Linked DNA regions of Yarrowia lipolytica. The protein of the gene in region 1 purifies or fractionates together with the protein of each later gene. This does not show direct contact. Links are inferred from orthologs where the notes say so. Each region holds a gene or a part of one and is shown on either strand. Other genes may lie near its edges.

Region 1 (4,625 bases):
CATAGATCGTCTCCGACCCGACGGGCCCAAAGACAACAGTCCTGAAGAACGTCCTGAAGAACGTCCTGAAGCAGACTTAGTCTGGGGCAACCGTAGCACCCTCTACCAGTCTTACTTTGGCAAAACTACGGATAAACCCAACAGGTAAAGACTCCTGGCGGGACTCTTAAACAGTGTCATGGCACTATTCTCGCAACGAGAAAGACGAGTTCCGAAACGGAGACGCTGTGGTATTCTACAGGAACTCTCAGTCGGAGAAACCATTTGACTAAGCTTGTGGTAGAAATGCTTTTTTTTTTTTTTTTTTTTTTTTTTTTTTTTTTGTTTTTCTCGTGTCGTCTTGAACTCGACTGTCGCAAAAGAACGCGAGACACAGAACTGATGCTATGCAATCCCAAGATTACCACTTAATCCTCAACACATTCAGCATCCACTTGAAATAACAAAGTGGCTGTTTCCGTTTCGCCTGTATGTAAAAATATCTTTTCACTCGATATGACCGTCTAATTCTCTCTATGTTCATTTTTCCTCCACTTTTACCATGCAGGAACATCGTCGGCCTCGCCCCGCTCTCCATCCTCCAGAGCCTTGGCAATGGCGTCAAAATGGTCGGCCTGTTCGGCAATCTCGCCCAGTCTTATCCGCATCATATCGAACGCAATGGCCACTGGCACCTTTTGTAGATCCTTCGTCTCCAGAGTCAACGCCGAAAGCTCAGGCAACTTGGGATACCGCTGTGAAAAGTGTGTGAGAACGACATGCTTGGCTTCCATGTCTTTGCACACCCCCAGAGCCTCCGAAAAGGTACAATGTTTCTTAAGGATAGCCTCCTCGGGAAGATCGTTGTTCAAAGTAGCCTCGTGAATGACCAGGTCGCAGTCTCGGGCCATCTCCGAAAAGGCCTCGATGGGTCTCGTGTCACCAGAGTATGCAACGTTGAATGTCTCGCTGTCATCGAGCTGAAAGCCGAACTCGACACAGAAAGACTGCTCGCAGTGGTGAGCCCAGCACGTCTTAATCGAGGTCAGACCAGGAACCTCGGGCAAGGCAGACATCTTTCTGTGCTTTTCCAAGAATGCCCAGCAACCATAGTACCTGATTCGAGCTTGCATTTCCGGGGTGAAATTAGCACACTCCTCAAGGAACCGCTTGTAAGACTGGGGACCAACCACAGACAGAGTCTCGTCTGGGTTGGCCTTGAGCCACTGTTCGATGAAGGTGGGAGTGCCTAGATGATGGTCGGCGTGAAGATGAGAAATGTAGATCATCTTGATCTCCCGCATAATCTGGAGACAAGCTTCGGGCGAGTACATCCGGGTCAGAGTGCCGTAGGTGCCCTCTCCACAGTCCATAACAACTCCAGTGAAAGAGCCGTCAGCTCGGGGAACTCGCATGATCAGTCCAGCCACGTTTCGGTACTTAGAAGGACACGCCGATCCAGTTCCCAGTGTCAGCAGCTCTGCCTTGCACTTGAGAGTACCATCATCGTTTCGAAGCGGTCTGTCGACTGAAGTCTCCTCCGGAGTGTATCCCAACCCTTCATACTCACGTAGACCACTGTTGACGACCCGAGAAGTGTTTGTGGTGTTTTCAATAGACACAGCGTCACCCTGGGTCAAGAGGCGCATGTTGAATCGATTCTGGATGGTCTCATCTGCCAAGAAATCTGCCTTGGGGTCGCTCAGAGTTCGGTAGTCCTTACCATGCAAGGGGAACTGATCTCCCACAATGTTTCGAAGTTTGTAGCACAAACTGGCGGAACCCCGGAAGGTCAGTGCGTGGGGGTCGAGCCAGGGAGCAGAAATGATGTGCATCACGTTGCTGCCTAACGACTCCATCCACTCAAAGTACTTTTCGGGGTCGCTGGCGAAATAGGACTCCATTTCGGGACCGAAAAAGTGGTAGACTGTGGAAACGAAGGGCTCGAGCACATTTGAGACATCGGGAGTCTTGACTTCCTCGTTCATCTCGCCCGAATCGCGCTTCTGACCGGCTCCATACACCGGCTGGGCGTCTCGAGTATTGTATTTACGGGTCCACTCAGGGCAGTTGATGACACCATCAACGTAGCGAGCATCGGGAATGTCGAGAAACAGAATTCGGCCGTAGTTGGAGGGTTCACCAATACACTGCTCGGGCTTGATCACCGATCCGTCCTCCAAAGTCACGTTGTTGCCTGCGATTAACTGCTTGAAGTCGGATCTGGGAACGTTAAGAGCATTTGCAGCCTCGACGTTGAACTTGCCCTTCTTTTGGTGCAACTGAGCAATGTAACAGGTGGATCTCTCGTCCAAATCGACCGCGGGGAGCGCCGTATCCGACTGCTTCTGCAACTCCTTGCGGTTGTATCCGTAGTCTCCGCCTCGCGAGCTGAACATGGTCTTGAGTACCCGGTTGACGTTAGTCCAGGGCGTGTCCCTTCGCAGCGGTTGGAGGTTTCGGGGAGCGAGCTTCTCTCCGTTCTGGTGCTGCTCCTCCTGTTGCAGCCGTGACTCGGTGGGGGTGATGAGAACGCCGCCAATGTTGATCTCGTCGGTCACGTGGCCCTTGGTCATTCTGTCGGTTCGGATCGCCATGGTCTTGTGAAACACAAAGTGTCTCCAGGTGGCGCAGAACCAGTTGACGTTGTGACCACACGATCTCAGGTCCAGATCAGTCTTTCCCATGCCCACCAGAGTCAGCAGGAAGCCGGCAAGACCGGACAAGGTGGACCAGGTGACGGGCCCTGTGAGGTAGATGCCGGACATTTTGTTGACTCGTGGCTTCTGTTCCAGAATCGCTCTCTGGGTTCCTTCTGTGACATGTCCAAACAGAAACTTCTCTCCCTTCATTGTCTGTAGCGTGACTCCCGGCCCCGCCGTATCGGACGAGTAGCTCATGAAGTTGTACAGAGACTGGGTCGACGACAGGTCGGGTAGCACGCCCTTGGCCTTCTTCTCGGCCTTCTTCTTCTGCTTTTGTTCAGCCTGTCTTTGAGCCTTCATGTTGCGACGTTCCAGCTTCGCGCGCGTTAGGCGGGTGGATGTTCTGTATAGAAAAGCAAACGGTCTTGCGGCCGTGCTAGCAGGTTTGACGTTGAGCTTCCAAATTTTGACGGACTTGGAAGAAACCACAACCAGCCGTATGTTTTTGAAAAGTGGTGAGTTCGTGATCTCTCGATAGGGTTCTGAAAAATCTTAGCGGTGGCGCTGGGGCAAAGAAGAAGTGTGGAATTGCGACGGAAAAATATTTCGGACGATATGGGGGTTTATTGGGCCAGCTGAGAGACGTCACGGGTGCTTTTATGGCGAGAATGGCGAGTTTTAAAAAATCGCACAACCGCGGATCGAACCCAACACGCCCCTTTTCACCTACATGAAACTTTCTGCATGATAAATATTTTTGTACATGAGCAGGAAAATTATTTTCTGCTAGCTACTCAACCCGACACAAATGCCTAACAACAACAATATCCACAAGCCCAAGGTGCTGGGCAAGAAGCCCCGGCAGCACAACAAGAACAAGGGCAACTCGTACGTGCGACGAGACGGCAAGGGTGTCGAGCTCAAGTCTAAGATGGTGACCAAGAAGCAGGCCAAGAAGAACTCGAGAAACGCCGACTACATTGTCAGCCGACTGGGCGAGATTGACGTCGACGCCATCCAGGCGGTGGGCAGCCGAAAGCGAGCCAACATCATTGGCAAGATTGCCGAGTCCGTGGACGTGATGACCAACGCTGACGAGGACGAGGACGAGATGGTGGACGACGCCGAGACCAAGACCCAGCTCAAGCGACGTATGGCCCGAGAAGAGCTCGACCGAATCACCTCGACACAGAATCCCATCAAGATGGCTCTTACTGAAGACCCCGATGCCACAGAGATTGCTTTTCAGAGCGGCTCCAAGGGCACCACTCTGGGCGCTCCTCTGGCGGTTTGAGCTGACCGGACGTCTACACACAAAAATTACACAAGGGATATTAGAAAATGGTATTTATGCATTACGTATTGTAGTGGAGGTAAGGAGTAGATCCATTCCAGGAGATAAGTCGGTTCCGAAGAGATGTTTGTATTGTGAACAGTGTGTGGACTGAAACACACAGAGTTGTGATAAAACTACGACATGGCCAATGCGAGTGGGCTAAATGAGTCGACGGGGACTCGGCGTCCTTTCGACTACAGTACAACTTGTGTCAGTTACAAGTACTACTGTAGTATCGAGATACTCTACCCATTCAGCATGTACAGTTCTTGTAGAACAGTCCAACTTTTCCGGTTCTAACATATATAACACTCTAGAACTTTCATAGAGACAGGAGATCGATGTTGCGCCGGAGACGGTTGAGTCGGACCTCGTCAACTCGTCTAATCGTCAACTCGTCTAATCGTCACCTTGTCTAATCGTCATCTCGTCAACCGTCATATCGTCAAGGGTCCAACCTGACCTCATCAACCCATCCACCTCGTTAATATCATATAATTACATCTCTACAGTTAAATAAGTCCAACTTGTTCCTCGCGTGAATCATATCATTATATCTATACAGTTAATTCTTGTCCGACTTCTTCTTCTTGTACTTCTTGATGTTGACAGCCCCCGGGACCTTGCTGCCATGCAACTCGACAATCTTGGACTCGTCCGTGTAC
Region 2 (3,222 bases), on another chromosome or scaffold:
AGCCCAGGATGATGACGACGACGACGACGACGGCGAATATGAGGAGCCTCAGATTCAGCTCAAGTCCTTCGCATAAGTAGAGTAGGAGTGAGTGGCAGTTGGTCACTAACAGTACAGTAGAAAGATAGAACTATGTACGATGGCATTAACAATTTTTTAAAATATGAATTTACGATGAGTGTGGTAAAATATTGCGACAGGTCTCTCTGTTTTGCGTGTCTGCAATTTTGAATGAGTGGCAGGCACAAATTAAGCTCAGCTCCGTTCCCGACTGTAAGCATGCAGGACTGCATTGCACACGTCATTTGACTTTTTTAACAGAGTATATGTTGAATAGAATTTTAAATAAGGTTGAAAGTGTGCATGAATCTAGCCTGTCGATTTACACCACTAATTCCCGCGCGAGACGAATTAATTGCCATTTTTTTGACCTTATTGGTATTTGAGTTTCTAGTTGAAATTGGAGGGGATTTCAGCTAGAAACTCTTGTCGAATGACCGGAGGAAAGAGTTGATTGTTTTGTTATTCTCTTAATGTCTCGTTGTGGCGTGTTTTTTATTTGTTACATCGGGCCACAGTACGAATACCAGGTTGGTCATGTTGTCCGGTTCAGATGATCTTTCGGTGGATGTTGAAGGGTCCGAGTGTGTTGAACGCGGTGTGTGGTTCTTGTATGTTAGATATAGGATTACAGGGGGTAGTTGCTGTGTTATTAGTGACATGGGACTGGTAGGCTGAGTAGTGTGAGGATTATTTGCTCACTTTTCGTGTTTTTGAGAGGGAAATTACAGAACTTGTACGGGGTCCCAAGCACTCCTACTCGTATTAAGTTTGGTCACTGGGCAGAAAGTATTTCGTTAGATACGAGCTCCGCTTATGAGTAGAGTATGATGCTATGACCGTACAAGTACCAATGGTCATTTATGGCTATTGAAAATACAGTACCAGGTATTTTTGCTGTAGAGTGCATCATTCAGGGGTTTTATTAGATGCGAACTGTGAATTCTGATTTACAGAATTATACAAGTACAAGTACAGTATTATTTTTTTCTGCATGTACAAGTATATGACTGGGGAAGGGGTGAAAATTAGTTGGGCTTGTACTTGAGTTTGACGAGAATCGAAAAAAAGACAACCAGGAAGCAACCAGTGACTAGAATTAGAAATAAATAGCGGTTAACATGCGTAAATTGCAATTGTTCTTCGTCAAGTCACAGGTCTGGTCCCCTTTGCCTTGCACTTCACGTCTCACGGTGCTTGAACGCTGCACCCCTGATTCGTGCACATCTACAGTATAACAGCTTACTCATATAGCAGGTACAAGTACCGAGAAGTCAACTTTAGACGACTTACAAGAGAGGTCAAGAACCAGCAGAATCTCGTCAAAGTGAGATTGCACGTACAAATTATTGTGGAGGTCAAAATGAACTTGCAGGCAGTCACGTATTGCACTAACTGGTTTCGTCATACTGTAAAACTCTCACTCTCATCACCACTGGTCAGATCCACGCGTTGTATCTCTGTCTTCCAATTGGCTTGTCCACCTAATGAGAGCTGGCACTCGGACTGTACCAGGTGGTCACATCACCATTCATTCTTGTATCCATCACTAGACCCCAGGTCCCCCGTCTCTGATCCTCTTTAAATTAACGCCTATCAGATGCTCAAGACGCGCCCAAACTCTACGATCAAACTTTGGCTGTACATAAACCCTTGATCTCAGACTACAGCCTCAGCACGGTACAGTACTCTCTTTCGACATGTCCAAAATCGCAGCTTCCATCGCAGCTATTGCCGGCACCGGTCTGGCGGCCCATCTGTGGGCGGACTCGCCCAGAGCGTCTCTCGACGTGTTCAACGGCTCAACCCCGGCGGTTCCAGTCAAGCCAGGGGAGTTCTTCAAGTACGGCTTCCCCGGAGCAGCCCACGACATTGCCTACCGACAGGAGTTTGTGTCGTGCTACGACCGAGAACGACGTAACCCCATGTGGGTCGTGGAACACATCACCCCGGACTCCATCAAGTCCAACAAGGGCGAGGGAGCCCCGGATCGAAAGTTCTCCAACTTCAAGGAAGATCAGGAGGTGCCGCTCAAGTTCCGGGCTCGGCTGGCCGACTACTTCCGATCGGGCTACGATCGAGGCCACCAGGCACCCGCAGCTGACGCAAAGTTCTCCCAGAAGGCCATGGACGAGACCTTCTTCCTGACCAACATTGCCCCCCAGGTCGGAGACGGATTCAACAGAGACTACTGGGCCCACCTGGAGGACTTTTGCCGACGGCTGACCAAGCAGTACGGCAGCGTGTACATTGTGACCGGACCGCTGTACCTGCCTAAGAAGTACCCCGATGGCAAGTACCGAGTGTCGTACGAGGTGATTGGTAACCCCCCCAACGTGGCTGTCCCCACACACTTTTTCAAGATTGTGCTGGCCGAGAAGCCCGTCAAGAATCCCGGAACCAGTGACGTGGCTGTTGCTGCCTTTGTGCTCCCTAACGACGTGATTCCCAACGAGACCAAGCTTACCTCGTTTCAGACCCCCGTGGATGCCATTGAGCGGTCCACCGGAGTCGAGTTCCTCAACAAGATCACCGTCAAGCAGAAGGACCTGTGTCGAGAAGTCGACTGCTCCATTGTCGTACGAGACTTTACCAAGGCCCTCCCTGCCCCTAACGGGTTGCTGGCTCTTCCCGCCCCTGAAAAGTAGCCTACTGTATATAGTCAAAGAGTGTAGAACATATATCATCATGGTCGCTGTGTTGAGTCATACTCGATGTTTCGGAAGAACTGGAACTATTACTTGTGTGATAACGGGGGAAATGTGCCCTAGAGCTCGTAGAAGATGGCTTCATACGCTACACTGTCCAACCACCTCTCACTTGTGCTACGATCATAAAGCCATGCAAGTGCAATATATTAGTTCCTAACTACTTGTAGTCCCCACTACAAGAGGTAGTTTGTCAAGAGTCCCAGCGACAATTGCTGAGAACATGGCATGTATCTGTTGAGAGCGAGAGTTAGAAGCGCTCATCGAAACCCCCTACTTCGTAGTGCTGCTGCCTACCCTCGCTACGTTGAGCTCCGCTCTCCAGCTAGGCGACAATCCTCAGCACCTCTGCCTTCAATGTTCGCATGTTCACCAGTACCACCTCTCCCGTCTCATCAAACCGCGGAACTGCCACCAGACGCACTGACACTCCGTCATGCTTGACAACACTGGT

Evidence for each region. Proteins that work in one complex are often made in the same cells at the same time.
Region 2: the proteins of YALI1_A13046g (region 1) and YALI1_D06638g purify together in Saccharomyces cerevisiae (affinity purification with mass spectrometry; 6 studies listed by BioGRID, with this or other methods). This does not show direct contact. The link is inferred for Yarrowia lipolytica from reciprocal best matches to the Saccharomyces cerevisiae genes TRZ1 and NUC1.

What each region holds. Positions count from the first base shown.
Region 1 is NC_090770.1:1,302,950-1,307,574, reverse strand, and holds YALI1_A13046g (uncharacterized protein), read right to left. Parts: upstream 2,985-4,625; coding exon 537-2,984; downstream 1-536. Other genes in the region: YALI1_A13095g (uncharacterized protein), read left to right, coding at 1-148; YALI1_A13041g (uncharacterized protein), read left to right, coding at 3,433-3,918; YALI1_A13019g (uncharacterized protein), read right to left, coding at 4,526-4,625. UniProt on the Saccharomyces cerevisiae protein: Zinc phosphodiesterase, which displays some tRNA 3'-processing endonuclease activity. Probably involved in tRNA maturation, by removing a 3'-trailer from precursor tRNA.
Region 2 is NC_090773.1:662,061-665,282, forward strand, and holds YALI1_D06638g (uncharacterized protein), read left to right. Parts: upstream 1-1,760; coding exon 1,761-2,708; downstream 2,709-3,222. Other genes in the region: YALI1_D06572g (uncharacterized protein), read left to right, coding at 1-76; YALI1_D06665g (uncharacterized protein), read right to left, coding at 3,094-3,222. UniProt on the Saccharomyces cerevisiae protein: This enzyme has both RNase and DNase activity.